Linked DNA regions of Struthio camelus. Each later gene encodes a partner of the first gene's protein in a complex. Links are inferred from orthologs where the notes say so. Each region holds a gene or a part of one and is shown on either strand. Other genes may lie near its edges.

Region 1 (7,766 bases):
TTTGTATAGTTCATGTAACTGAACCAAAAAAGATGGAAAGCAGAAGATATTAGCACACAGACGTATAAGAGGAGAGCAATGGGAACAGAGAGGAAAAAAAAGCAACGTGTAGAAGTAGCACTTTTTTTTTTTTTTAAAGTTTCATCACTAAACTGGCATTTTAAAAATGTTTAGGCTCACTTGATCACCTAGTGGCAAAGTCATACAATGCAACATGAGAGAGATGAATTTCCTTCCCAAACAAATATGGCATGTTATCACAGAGACTGTGCTCAGACTTGGAGGGAGGGGACTTATTTTCACAATCACATACCCATGTTAACTATCAAGTGGAGTAACTAATCCACAGACAGGAGAGCAACATTTTGCATGAGAGCAACAAATGAAATGGGGAGATTCAAGTTAGTATGTTTTCTGTGAAAAACGCACAATATACTTGCCTGATACTAATCATGTCCATTATGATGCAAAACAAATCCAGGTTTGATCCAGTGCCAGATACAACTGTGAATGCTTCCTAAAGCATATGTTCAATGTAAAGTTACTGGCTTATGGCAACTCACACTACTGACCAAAAGAATGTTGGAATACCCCAAAAGATGTCCTGCTTTAAAGTGACAGGCATTAGAAAAGCACATCACAGGCATTAGAAAAGCACAGCTCCAAGGCTCTGATACAGCAGGGAGTTTTATAAAATACAGGTGTTCAGAGAAAGTAGTAACTCACTAGAAAGAAATGACTTTGAAAAAGACATGCTCTACTCAGTATTTCTGAAACATGCTGTGCCTTTCAAAAAGTAGCTCATTTCTCAGAGTGTACTTTATAATTACTTGTAATTGATTATGCAGCACTGTATATGCAAGGAAAAGTTTTCAAATCCCATCAGGCTTATCAGCTAAGGTTCTGAAGCATAAAATTTGTTATGAAAAAAAAGACAAAGTTTAACTGAAAGGTCAACTTGAAGGCTAAGCTGGCGTTTAAGAATTGAAGAATAACTGAAATAAGAAAGGAAAGTCGGATTAAAAAAAAACAAAAAACAGTGAACTACCACATTTCCTCAAGCTACCTGAGCTCTGTTTTTCTTTTGAAGAAGCCCCACATTCAGTATTTCATGAAGATGCCATTTTGGACAACTAGTTAACTGCTGTCCCTGGAAAGTTTGTCTTTTATGATTTTTCCCCCTATTAATAGTCAACCTACCTGCCCATAGTTGTCTATGCCAGTTACTAATCTATTTAAATTTAATAAATCAAAAGCTGTCCTTAGGGACTGGCCAAGAGTCGTAAGTCCTTCAGCTTGAAGGTTTTTGAGTTCATTCATAAACGTTGCATGGTTTTCTTTCCATCCAGCCTGAAAAGAGAAACGTGAGAAGACGTATCCTTCAGACAGGAGCTGTGCACAGGATAACGCTTTCCTCTGGGGCTACAGAGCAGCGCTTTCCCCTCCGCACACAGCAAATGACAAGGGCTACCCAAACGCCTGGCGAGCGAGCAATATTTTAGCGGTTGCTCCCTCAGGCTGGCGAGCGCGTCGTCGTGGAGGAGAAAAGGAAAAAAAAAAACCAAAAAAAAACACACAAAAAAATCGTAGCAGCCCACCCCTGCCAGCCGTATTTTGGATTCTCTCCGCAGGACGAAATCTCGGTGAGGTCATCCATGCCCAACTCTTTCTTGCAGCTCTTCAAACTACGGCAGCTCGGCTCTTCGCCGGCTGCGCGGCGCTCTCCGGCGGCCGTGCTCGCCCCGCCGCCCGGCCCCCCGCCGGGCACGGGCCGCGACGGGCAGGCGGGCGGCCTCCCTTCCCCTCCCCTTCCCCTTCCCGACCCCCCCCACCCCGGGCCCAACTCTCGGCGGAGTTGCTGTCACTTCTCCCAACTCGAATAAATATCCCCCACAGTTCATTGCTGCTCGCGCACCGCACGGGGGGGGGGGGGGGGGATGTCGGCCATGTTGATGTCAGCGCTGCCGCCGCCGCCGGAGCCCGAGCGTGCGTGTGCGCCCAGGCGCGGCGGGCGGCGCCGGCCGCGGGGGCCGCACGGGGCGGGGGAACGGGGTGGGGGGGGCGGTATGTGTGTGGGGAGGTGGGGGGGAGGGTTAACGGGGGTTACCTTGATAGCGTAAGGAGGCTCCTCGAAAGTGACCAGCATGTACCTGTCGCCCCTGCTGGCCGGGTCGCGGGCACGGAGCTGCGGGGGTGGCGGACAAAGCGAGAGGGTGAACGCGGAGGTAGCGGCGCCGGGGCGGCCCCCGCCTTGGAGCCCCCCGGCCCGGCCCGGAGCGGTGCGGCCCGGCCCTCCCTGCCCGCACACACACGCACTGCCGCCCGGCCGGCCGGCCGCCCTCGCCCCGCGCCCCCGGCCCCGGCGGCCCCCCGCGCCCTGCCTCCCCCTCCCCTTCCCCGCGCAGTCACTCTCGCTCTCTCTCGCCTCCTCTCGCAAGGCAGAGCCGGTACCTTCATGAAAGTCTCTACAGCGCCTTTGGCTATGTCCAGATAGGTGGTGCCCAGATGGGTGCGCTGGTTCATGGAGGCGGACGTGTCTATCAGGAAGAGTAAGATGGGCATAGTGCGGAGGGGCCGGCGGCCGGGCGGCTACATGGACAGAGGGCGGGGGGCTGAGGGGGGACCACGGGGCGGGGTGGGAGGAAAAGGGGAAGAAGAGGAGGAGGAGGAGGAGGAGAAGAAGAAGAAGACGGGGTTGGGGGGGACAGGAGAGGAGTAAGTGGCTGTGAGTGCTCTGCACGGGGAAGGGCGCCTCCCCGCTGCCCCTCGCCCAAGGAGGGGGGGAAGGGGGGCAGCCCTGCCTGCCCTGCCCTCCTTTGTGTGAGGGGCCTGCTCAGCCCAACACAGGCTGGTTTATGAGGGAGAGGCGGATAGGGCTGCGCTGCTGCTAACCTTCCCCCCCCCCCCCCCGCCTTCCACCTTCCTCCACCGCCGCCCGCCCTCCCCTCCCCCTGTTGATGTTACTCAGAAGTTTCAGGCGGAGCAGCCGCAGCCCCACCACCCCGGCACTTTCTCTCTCTGACTGAGGCGCTTCCTCGCTCGCCGCCCGCTTTTAAGGCAGCCTGGGCAGGTCGGGGCCCGCCCCCGAAAGACACGTCCCCACGCCACGTGACCGCCTCCCGGCCCCGCCATAGGGCACCGGGCAGCTCCCTCATTAGCATATTCAAATCAGCGGGAGGAGGGGCGGCCGGAGCCGCGGAGGGAGAAGGCGGCGGGGGCGCGCGCGCGCCTCGGCGCTGCCGCCGCGCACGCGCGCTGCCGTGCCCGGCGAGCGGGGTGGGGTGAGGTGGGGGGGGCGGAAGGGGTGACACAGCCCTGTGCAGGGAGGGGCGCAGCTCCTCGGAAAACGGTCGGGGCGGGAAGGGGGGAGAAACGACTGAAATGAAACCCGGGGCGGTGGGAAGGAAAAGGAGAAGGGTGGCGGCACATGGACGGGGGAAGACCGCCTCGCCCGGCGGGCTCGGAGGCGACGCGCCCCGGCTGAGCCGCCTGGCTCGGGGCGCGGCGGCGGTTGCCCGCGGTAGTAACGGACCCGAACCCGCCCCTTGACTGGGGCCGGCCGCCAGGCTGGGCCGGGGCGGGGATGAAGAGGGCGGGGGAGGCCCCGGGGAGAGCGCGGGCCGCCGGCGGCTCGACTCGGCCGGGAGCGGGCGGGTGAGTCACGGGGGAGGGGGCGGTGCCGCCGCCCCCCGCCCGGCGCCCGCCGCGGCTTCTCCTTGAGGCTGCAGGAAGGTCTTGCGGGGGGCCTGGCGGCGTGGGGAGCCCCCCCCCCCCCGGCCTTCCTCCGGAAGGAGGAAGAGGAGGGAGGGGGACTCCCCCGTCGGGGGCGGGGGTAGTCGCCCCCCGCCCCGGCCGGCTGCCCTCGGCCCTGCCTTGGGGCGTTTCTTTACTTCCCCCGTCACCCGCTTCAGGCGTGGTGAAGGATTGTTCCTTCCAAGGTTAGTGGGGTGGGGGTCCTCTAAACTGTGCCGATGCCAAAACTGCCCCTTCCGTGAGGGGGGAAGGCCGGAAAAGCCGAGGTCCGAAATGCCCCCGCCTTGGGGGCCGGGGTGGGCGGCGGGGGGGGGCCCTTCCTCGGGGGGAGCTGGCGCTTGGGGGCCCGGCACGCAGTGCCTGCCCAGTCCACGACATGCCGTGGCTGTAGGGTGCAGGTGACCGTTTAAATGGTACCTTCTCAGGGACCTGCACTGGCTTTTCACTCGATGTCAGGAGGAGGGAAAAATAAATAAATAAACGTTGGCTAGCCCTAGCAGTGGCCCTTTCCCCTACATACAGACGGAGATTAACGCTAATGTTTCTTTGATCTGTGGCAGGGCGCTCCACATTCACTCCCGATCAATCACATAATCGGGGAGTGTTTCCAACGATGAAGATCTCTGCTCTTGGTTGTTGTTTTGGGGTTTTTCTTTCCCCAGCAATTGTGTCTCTGTTTATGCTCTCCTACCTTGGAGCGCTAACTCTGAAGTCGTTTCTTAGCATAATCACTTCAGGAGATGCCTCTGCTTCCTATCTGACTTGATATTTTTCCCCAGCTCGAGCTGATGTGTTCTCCCAGTCACTGCTCTAGCAGGTTTAAAGCCACTGTGCTCCTTCCTTCTCTTTAAAATACGAAAATATCAGCAGTGTTCTGGTTTGATTCATCCTGCTTTTCCAGGCAAGATTTCTGTCTTGTTCGACAAGAGCTGTTTTTGGCGTTTTGTTTTGTTTTGTTTTTTTAAGATTAATGAAAGATTAACATTCAGTTTCTAGGAAGGCTGGAGAGGGATAGGAATCATACTTCCATTATAGCTTTGTATGCATTCTTATGCCAGGGAGCAGATTATTTTGGCTTTCTTGTCGGCGCTGTATCTGTGACCTGAGGCATTGGGGTGAAGTGAGGGATGCTTCCTTTCAGTTCAGTTATCCATTTAAGGCCACTAAGGAGTCTCCAGTGTGAAGGGCTCCACAGGAGCAAGGAAAGAGTCTTGATCTTTGGAGTCTGTGCAGACAAAATATGGTAACTGGGTTGGCAAATAAGTAACATCTCTTGCTATGAGTATTTCTCAGTGTGGATCTTGCTGGCAGTGAGAGAGTGGCCAAGCTTGTGTGTACTCGCTGGCTCTTGAGCAGCTTGCATCTTTCCAGCAGTTCAATTTTAGAGCTCCAACAGTGGTGGTGTGTCTTGTGACCAGCAGCAAGGCTGTTCTGGTCCAGGTTCTACCGGTTAATCTGAATCCCTGCTGTCAGAGGAAGTGAACCAGCGGGTGCTGCTGAGGCTGGATTGCTGGGTTGCCCTGGAGTCTAGCTGCATGCCTAGCCCCATTGTGCAGTAAAACGTTCGGACTGTTGGAGAAACGTGGTTCACAGTTATCTTCTGTCTGCCAATCTGTATTGGAGCACCTTGCTTCCCCTCGGCCCTCCACGGAAAGTGGCATGTATCTTCTGGCTCTCAGGTATGCCACTCCTAAGGTCAACAAGGCTGGCTGCTGCAGGACCAGTAATCATCTCCCAAAAGTGGTGGGATTCAGGTTGTTAAGTGAAGGCTATAATGCTGCTTTAACAAATCGTGCCTTGGGATTAGTAGCTTCATTTGGGAGTAATGTTGGGTAAGTGTGTGTTGTCAGCCTCTAATTGGCTTCCCTTTAAATCTCTGAGATAGGCACATTCTTCAGACATGCCATCTTTTCTTCTATTTTTATTTCACTGATGTTTCATTGACCACCCAAATAAAAATAATAAATAAAAATAATGTCACTCTTAAGTGCCAAGCCTTATGCATTTTCTCGAGGAGCGTTGTAAAAATGGGAAACTTCTGGAACGCACCCTTCTCCAGAGGTAGGGGGAGGGGAAAAAAAAGTAAAGGCATTTTATAGCACTGCCACACCAGGAAAATGTCATTGTGAAAGGCAGCCTGAGACATGGAGACTTTGCATAAATCCTGGAAGGTCGTTTGGAATTTCTGATTTTTCTTTTTATTACCAGTAAGTGAAGAGAGAGAGGGGAAAAGACATTAACTCTTAGTGGTAGAATCAGTCATAACCTACCGTGAATTCTGAATCAGCATGACAATTGCAAGCTGTAGGCACACTGTAATTTTCTCTTACCAACACGAGAGGAAGGTGGGACTGAAGCAGCTGGACCTACTCTATCCCTAGTTCCCTTGGACCCAATGATTACCACTGATAAAAGAATCTCGTGCACGAAACTTGTATGCAGTTCCAATGGGACCTCTACCAGCAAAAACACTTTGTGAATTCTATATGTACTTTTTTGCCATTATCTTTGAAGTAATTTGGAACATTTGGTCCTTCCTGCTCCTGTGCATGTCATATGAGACCCATATTAGATCCCCTATAGGGCAGAATGAAGGTTAGTTTTGTGTTGCCTGTGGTAGGCATTAGTACTTTCCTACTGGGAGCTGGCCAATTTGATTAATGTTGAGAAAGATTCTTTTTAAGAAAAGATAATCAACCCAAGTCTTAAAGTGCCTGTCGGCCTCTTGATGTGAGAGTCTTAATGGGTAGTACTGCCATCAGAGTCACATTTATAAATCTGTACAAGGGATTTGCTATGAAGGAACAAAACCTAGTGATATTAGTGCTTATGCTCATTACTGGTAGAGCTGACACAGGTGAGCAGGGAGAGAGCTTGCGACTATCCCTGTGAAAACAGATGTATCTTTCTGTGGTTTCAGCTTTTTTACATGGTAGGTAAATTTATACCCCATGTATAGTGTAAATGAGACAGTTCTATGTTTTCTCTTAAATCTGGATGAATGGTCTCAGCTAGCTCTGTCTGAAGGAATACTTTTGCTGTAGTGATAATGCATAAGATTATCAGTTTAGACTTAAGGTGTAGAAATTATTCATTTTCCAGCTTGTTTCATACACAGATTTTGTTTCTATTATTTTTCATACATCCGTGAGGGATTATGAAAACACGTGCATGTCTAAGAATACTCATTTTCTCACCTTCAGAGAGGCCACTGTCTGTTAGACAATAACTATTAAAAATGCAAATTTGGCTTTAACTTCCAATGAATTTGAAAATGTATATTGAAAAAATCATTTGAAAAATATTTTGATATCATTTACTATTACTGAGTTTTTCCTTAAACTTTTTTGTTTCCCAATTGATACTCGTGCAATCATCTTTTTCTATATCATCATTTATTGTTAGCGTTATTTTGTCCTAAATAACAGGCTTGAATGGAAGATGTTATGTTAAAAACCTTCAAGTGGATCTTGGAACTAGAATTGGCAATATAACTTTGTTTTTTCTTTTTTTGGCTGGCCTTTCTCTTCCTCAATACAGAACTGTTTCGTGAAGATTATTTCAAGATCTTTGTCAGCCCAAGTTTAATGGCGCAGAGTAAGTTTTTCATAGCTTCCTTTAGAAGGCCCTTTCATAGCCTAGTAGATTGTCACTACTCAGACTTTTTTTCCCCATATAAAGATCTTAAATTTTCTATTGCTTAATTTTATTTATTGTTCATCATCAAAGTATATGTCCTTGAAGAGCACTCTGAGTCTCAATTTATTATCTTTTAATGCTTGTATCCTAATCCTTTTAGTGAGGTGCTGTGCATTCCCTTTATTTGCTTTCTTTATAAATAAAATGTTATTTTCCACTTATCTTGCATTCATAGCAGTTTATATTGTTGGGCTTCTTGGTTGTTATTCCACTAGTTTCAGTTCAGTGGTTTTTAAGCCTACTTCTCCCCACCCCCCGAAGTATTACCAAAGAGAAACTCACTCCTCCTTACAATTCAAGGTAGCTTAGGAAAA
Region 2 (7,331 bases), on another chromosome or scaffold:
AAAAATAATTCAGAAAGAGAGAGTTACAAACCTCCTACTTCCTCAGCTCCTGCTATGAAGGAAAAAGCCGTATCAAATAGTTCCATGAACTTATGGATTATCACTATTAATTAAGCACTTCATAACAATTTAATTTTCAAAACACTGGACAGCCATGAACTCTCAATATCCCTTTGAAAGATACCAGTAAGATCCACGCTATAAATACGGAAAGAGCCTTAGAAGCGAGCTTTCTGAAGCAGACACTGGTTCCTAATTCCATGTGGAATTATCAGAATCACAATACTAGAGGGATGCATATTTTCTAGAAAGGTCAACAAACAGAAAGGAGTTGCTCAAGACTGCTTAATAAGTAGTTGTGGAGATAAGCAGGCCTCATCCACACAGGATTTTCTTGAAGATTTCCTTACCACTCTTTGTAAACCCTGCAGTTTCACCTACGGTAGCATTCCTATAAAACAGCTGGCAGACTGCATACCACAATGTCGTCTAGACCTGCTCTGAACAGAGTTGGATGACACAGTCGTAAAAATGCTGATGCCTGTTCTGGTGCTCGCACCGATGCTAAAGGAACGATAGGAGGAAGGACAGACACAGCTAGGTAAAACACAAGTTTCTTGTTCCTAGGCTCATCAGACGATTCTGTTAGCCACACAAAAAAGTTGTGGCTGTCACGGGGTTAAACAAGAATTTTCATATAAGAGAAAAGACACAGCATTCCCAAATCCCAGGATCACGGTTTACACACGCAATATCAAACCCCACTCTTCAGAGAGCCCAGTGCTCCTAGAACATGCAGATAACAAATGCATCCCAGCCTTATATTCTTCTATCCATCTCCCATTTCTCCCCTACTTCCCTCCCCAACCTGTATCTCAGAAATGTTTTCTTCACAATTTGGAAGAGAAATGGCAAAAAGAGAGATGCAAAATGTAGACTTAAATTAAGTTTGCTCTCTGCTGTTGAAGGATTTGGCCCAGGCGTGACAGGAGGAAAAAAAACGTTAAGAGTGATAAATCCATATATACCTACTCCAAACTACACCCGACATCCCAAGAGACATGGTATAATGGTAAATAAATATAGATGCAGTTCCTACTAATGAGGCAGGGTACAGCAAGGCCAAAGAAAATGCAATCATCTCAGGAAAAAAAACTGCACAGGACTCCTCCTCTCCCATCCATGGAGGAAATCAAATGCCAGCTGCACCATCCCAGGAAGGAAGCAGAGTCCGTACCTGATGAGCCCTGCAGAAATGAGCTAGTCACATATCATGGGACGCAGGCGGGCACTTCAGGGTTTTGCAAAGCCCACAAATTATCTGCCTAGCACAGGCCATTTCTCCAGTATGGTATATTTTACATGCTCTCATTCATGCAAATTGTAGTTTTTCCACCAGTTTCCTTCTCCTCCATCCCCATTAGTTTGAAGCAGGGGCACGTAGCCAGCGTCTATCAGAGCTGCTCGGACCGTGTTCTCAACCGCGTGCCCTGGCCATCAGCTTAACGCTTTCTTCCCTGCCAAGTTTAAATCTTCCTAGCTTTAGTTCATACACGTTTTGTACTTAAAGCCACTTATCCGTACCTCTAACGTTACTTAAGCTTGAGAACAAATTAAGATATACCTGACTCTACGAAGAGCAAACAGGCTTGCAATCTTCATTTCCTCTTCCTCTTTCCCTCCCCCCTAAAAAAGCATTTTTTTCTTCCCTATATATGAGGGGGCAAGGAAAAACAGTACACATGATCAAGGGTTTTTTTTTTTTTCAGAGAACAAAAAAGCCAAAAAGAAAAAAAAAAAGGTTTCCAAAAAAGTGCTCTGCAAACATACCAAGAGATACTCTTTAAAACAACTAAAAAAAACCCATCAGACGAAACTGAGCCTGGAGAACTCAGCGCAGTCCGCCTCGCGTAGGTTTCGCCCGTAAAAACACTCGTGGCTCGTGTCACTTTACCCCCCCGAAGCAGCACGAAACAGTTCAGCAGCGTTCCCCACCGCTTCTTCCAAACCGTCTGGGGGTCAAACCCACTCTTCTCCCGAAGAAGATCGCAGACAGCAAGAACGTTTACGCCTCCCCCGCCCCAAAATCTCCAGAAGTACAAAACCACCACGCGTACGACACCCCACCCAAGCTCTCCAAGCACATTTGGGGAACGACTTCCCTCCGGGTCCTCCTCCTCCCCCACCCACGTTAAAACTCTCCAGCAACAAGACACCCTCCGGGTTCACGCCTTGTCCCCCCCCCCCCAACCCCGGCAAAGCGCCGGGAGCAGCAACAGATCTGCCCGTCGCCGGCGGGGGCCCCCTCTCCCCTTCTCACCCCCAGGGCTTAACCGCCCCCCCCCCCAAAATAACCCCTCCGCTGGGGGGGGGGGGCGATCCGCCTCGCACACCTTCCCCCTCCGGCCTCCCCCCTCAACCCCGAGGTAACTGCTCGGCCAAAGTGCTGCCGAGCCGGGCCAGCACCCCCCCCTACACCCCGCCCGGAGGAGGGGGGGGGGAGGAGGAGGAGGGTTGGGGGGGGCCCTCGCCGCCCCCTCTCACAGGCGACGAGGCGGCAGCAGCCCAACCCCGGGCTCCAACTCCGGCAGCAAACAAACAAAACAAAACACACACTCACATTCCCCCCCCCCCCCAAAAAAAAAATAAAACCCCACAAAAATAAACACACCCACCCAGCCCGAGGGGACTCTGCCACCGCGAGTTCTTCCCTTCCCACCCAAGGAGGGTGGTGGTGTGTGTGTGTGTGGGGGGGGGGGTAAATAAATAAATAAATAAATGGAATGAAATAAAAATCCCAGGGAGGAAAATGGAAGGGCTCCTCTCCCGTTTTAAAAAACCTTCCGAGGAGAAGCGAGAGGCTGCCCTGCCCTCCCTCAGCAGCCCCCCCACCCCAGGCTCCAAGGGGCACCTTCCTCCGCCGCTCCGCGGCTTCAAGGAGACGAGGAGCCACCCAGCTCCGCGGCACAAAACTCTGCCGGCGACAAGCGGCGCGGGCTGAGGGGCCTGGCCCGGCCTGGCCTGCCTTGGCCCGGCCTGCCCCACCCGGCCCCCCCCGGGCTGCCCCCTCGTCCACGCACCTCCTGCGCTGCCAGGGAAGCCGCTCGCCCGCACGGCGCGACTGCCCCACAGGCAGCCTCGGCGCTGGCTGAGGCGGGGGTGGGGGGGACCCTGCGCCCTCCCTCCCCTCCCCTCCCTCCTTCCAGCCCACCCACCCACCCGCCCCCTCCCCTCGCCGCCCCTACTCTCTCCCTCCCTCTTCTTCTCCCCGGCCCCACACTTTCCTCCTCCCCACAAGTAACACTCACCTCTGGATCCGGGCTCCTGCGCCACCTCACCATTGAACAGCGGGAGAGGGGGGGGGGGTCCCCTCCCTGCCTGCCTCCCCCGCCCCGGCCTGAGGGGGAGCTTCGCGGGGGTGCACAGGGACGAGAACAATGCGGGGGGGGAAAATCCCTCGGCTGCCAGATCCCCCCCCCTCCCCAACCCCCCCCCCGAGGGAAAGAGCACCCCTCACCCCGTCTCTCTCTCTCTCTCCTTCTATCTTTCCCTCTCGCTTGCTCTCTCTCTCTCTTTTTTTTTTTTTTTTTGGCTCAATCACACCAGACTGACTGTCTTTGTCTGTCTGACAAGCGCCATGTTGATATCAACATCCAAGCTCCCACCTGCTGCCGCTGTGAGACCCTGGGACTTGTAGTCCCCCCCTCCCCAGGGTGACGGGGAGAGCCGCGGTCCCAGGACTACGACTCCCAGCGTGCCTCGGGGGCACGGCGCGCCGGCGGAGCGCGGGGCGAAGCGCGGAGCGGACTACCACTCCCGGCATGCCTCGGGAGAGGAGGGCAAGGTGGAAGAGGGGGGCCATGACTTCATCCTGGGCGGGCGGCCGGACTTCAAGTCCCATGATGCTCTGGGGCGGGGTGGGGTGGAGGGGGGGCTAGGCAGGAAGCGGGGTGGGGGGGGGGGCAGGATTGTCCCAGTAAATAGAACCGGGTAAAGCATGAAGCTGGTGAGTCCGTGTAGTTAGGGGGTCTGCGGGGGGGGCCTGCTTGGGGGACGTAGGTAAGGGTGGGAGGGGGGGGCCGCCATGCGGGAGATCGTGGCGTTGTGGGGGGAGGGCGGCCTCAGCCCCCCGCTCCGCGATCCGGCCGGTGCCGGCCCGGCAGTGACCGTTAAACGGTCGTCGGGGAGCCGCCGGGGAGGCACCTGCGCGTGCTAAGGGGCCTAGGCCTGAGCAACCGGCTCTCCCTCTCCTTCCTCCGCCACCCCCGGCCGCTCACCCCGCCGGTGGTTTTAGGGGCTCTCTGCGTTTTGGGTTTTAGATCAGGTTAAGCGGTAGCGGGATTTGGAGGGAAGAGCTGTTTCTTCATATCCTCCTTGAACGTGAACCTCGGCTTGGAGCAAGACAGGAGCTAGCCCGTTGCACGTGTGGCTTCCGCTAAATTACTCTAGAAATATTAATAAATCTCCATGGTTCATAGCAGAGGTCATATCCATGTTTTATAGTTATTATGATAGTCACGCAAATAAGTACTCAGAAGAAAATCATCCTGGAATAGCTTTGTCAAGGGCGCGCTATGATTATGACAGATATTTTGCTTTCAATAGTATAATGTTTTAAAGGGAAGGTTATTAGAAAAGGCATCACTCCGTGTTATTGATACCCACTGTATAAATCTCCTTTTTCAACTATTTAAGTTTTCCAAGGTATTTGGATTCAGCCACTGATTTATTGTCCGCTCAATATGCTGCAGTTCTTTGGAAATGAAAAATGAAACAGCTTTCAAAATTTCTGAGCATTACATTTGATTTCTTTAACTTAAAGTTACACTACTATTAAACCTGTTTTAAGGAGAGACCGATTGTCTCTCCGTTTTGAAACTCTGCAGTTTGTCTTGAGAAAGCTTCATAGAAGTGGACCTGGATTCTGGGCTTCTTTTGTGACTTCTGGTAGATCACTGGCTGTGGCTAACTGTGTAAAATTAGTTCAGTAGACAGGTGGCTGAAGAGCTTGATCCTGCATAATCTTACGTATGTGATTAAGTCTCTGTGTGTGCATGAGTACGACCAGTGGGACAAACTGTGCAAAGCTAAGCAGTTCTCTACATGACTGTAAAGATCGATATAAGGCACAACAAAAAGCAAGCTGAGAAATCTCCAAATGAAAACCATAGTGGAAATGCAGAATTCTTTGTTCTATCCAGCCACTGAGAAGCAAAACCCATCCTATTCTTGTACGAGGGCAGAGAGAGGGAAGAAGTGGGAAAAATGCAAGCTATCTGAAATCTATATTGTAACAGTTTTAGACCTGCTTACAAACTTGGAGGTCAGGAGCATAAGACCAGGTTCTTCATCTTGTGTTTGTCTGGAGTTGTGCCTGAAACTTGGGGTTGTGGAGGTAGGAGTTGGGATGGTATTTCATCCTCTTTTGTCATATATTTAGTCTGAATTTGGAAGAACAGGATAGAGGAAACAAGTCTCTGGACCTGATTCGGAATCCAGTGCAAATGAGAGACTCCCACAAATTCTAACGTGCTTTGATTCGGACAAATCCAGTTGCAAAATTCCCCCTAGACTTTAGGCTAGCGTGTGATAACATTGGAAAAGCATTGCAGTCTATGTTGGCTTCAGTTGTAATTCAAAGCACTGGCTTTAACCTGCGAAATCTTCAGTATTTTGGAGTGGCTAGTTTGAGACATCATGTCTTTTCTCTGTCACATTGCCATATATGAGATCACCAGAGACACTCAGAGCTGGCAAGTGCTCAGCTTGAACCAGCTGTCTGCTGAGAACCTTTCTCTATGAGGGTTTTAGTATTTGGAATTAACCCCTCGTCTTGGTCTCTTTGCGCCCCACTCAAGATTTTCATCAGATTTTCATCAGATTTTCATCCAATTTACAAAGCCTGCTGAGAAAGTTGTGAGCGGAGATGGGCGTATTTATAGTATTTTGTACATATTTTGTGAGCTTTTTCCACTGCTATTTTTTAATTACGAGTATAAGTACCTGTTGTGTTAGCTGCGCTAACCTTCAGTCATAATGGAAGAAAGATAGAAGAAAGCAAATATTAGTGCAAAAAGGACTTGTCTTTTAGTCAGATCAGGAATATTAGATCTCTGGATCTATTTTAAGCGGTAACAGCTATAATCTGTGTGGGAAATAGTCCGTCACATTTATAGTACATATAGAGATATGTATAATGCAGGCATTAGAATTCCTGAATTCTTAAACAAAAATTCTAATTGTACAGGCCCCGAAATACCACATGTGCAAATAGCTGTATAGCATATATGAATTACTTTATGGTTTTTTGGTCGCTTTACATGAATTGAAAGAAAGAATCCACTGACTCTCAGGAATCCACTTACCACAGCTTGACAGCAAATATAGATTATTGTAGATGCTGTTAAGGAAGAAAAGAGGAAGATTTTCCAGTTAGCTCGCAAATGTCAGGGTCATGATCCTATTCATGATTTAAAAAAGAGCAAGAGAGTGCTTTGCTGATAAAAGTGGTGATATTTTATTGCTTTTTTAATTAGCGATAGTTTAAAAGCTATAAAAATAGTTAAGATCCCCCCCCCATTTCTTTCTATTTACTTCAGTTGTACCTTCAGCTGTCAAAGTTCTGGTGTGGTGAAAACATAATTTCGCATGTGTATCTTGCATTCACAAAAGAAGCAGCTGAATTCCTTACATATATATAAGGAATACATATATGCATATGCATATATGTATACCATATGGTATACATTCATATGGTATACATATTCCATACCTATATCCCTTACTCACCAGCTTGGTTTCTTAAGGTTTTCTTAAATTATGCTAACAGCAGGCAAACATAATGTTGCTTGTTAATAATTAAGGCTTTATGAATTTTAAAACAAAAGTCTTTGTGATTATTTTGAATGTACTATTTGGGGTTTAATAGCTTTTTAGCATTTAAATATAACTTAAAACTGCTTTTTGAGGAATGTAAGTAAACAGTCTCCTTGGGAGTTGTTAATCCAAACAGTTGCAATTCTTTGTTAATGTGTGATGAGCAGAGGTAGGGAATAAAATGATTAATCTACCTCCTTTCCACTTAGCAGAGTGGAGCGTAGGAAGTAAGCATAAGGTATAAATGACTTAGAAAAATGACGAAAACTGTTTTTATAGTCAAAGCAGTACATGGACAACCAATTAATATTTTAAATTCCAGTGTGGTTGATTGGGGTTAAAGAGCTAAGTTTGACCATCCGAGAGTTGCTATGCTGCCAGATGCCCAAACGTTAAGATGCAAAGTGTTGTATTCGAGATGCAAAATCTCCTGTTCTTGCAATCCCTGAAGATGC

What was found. The genes of interacting proteins can lie anywhere in the genome.
Region 2: INTS6 (region 1) and INTS9 share a complex: the UniProt entries of both Homo sapiens proteins name them as parts of the integrator complex. The link is inferred for Struthio camelus from reciprocal best matches to the Homo sapiens genes INTS6 and INTS9.

Annotation. Positions count from the first base shown.
Region 1 is NC_090942.1:193,679,297-193,687,062, forward strand, and holds the start of INTS6 (integrator complex subunit 6), read right to left. Parts: upstream 3,036-7,766; 5' UTR 2,965-3,035; exon of another isoform or gene 2,613-2,964; 5' UTR 2,563-2,612; coding exon 2,452-2,562; intron 2,186-2,451; coding exon 2,108-2,185; intron 1,351-2,107; coding exon 1,201-1,350; intron 1-1,200. UniProt on the Homo sapiens protein: Component of the integrator complex, a multiprotein complex that terminates RNA polymerase II (Pol II) transcription in the promoter-proximal region of genes.
Region 2 is NC_090944.1:9,670,068-9,677,398, reverse strand, and holds the start of INTS9 (integrator complex subunit 9), read left to right. Parts: upstream 1-3,919; 5' UTR 3,920-3,997; coding exon 3,998-4,006; intron 4,007-7,331. UniProt on the Homo sapiens protein: Component of the integrator complex, a multiprotein complex that terminates RNA polymerase II (Pol II) transcription in the promoter-proximal region of genes.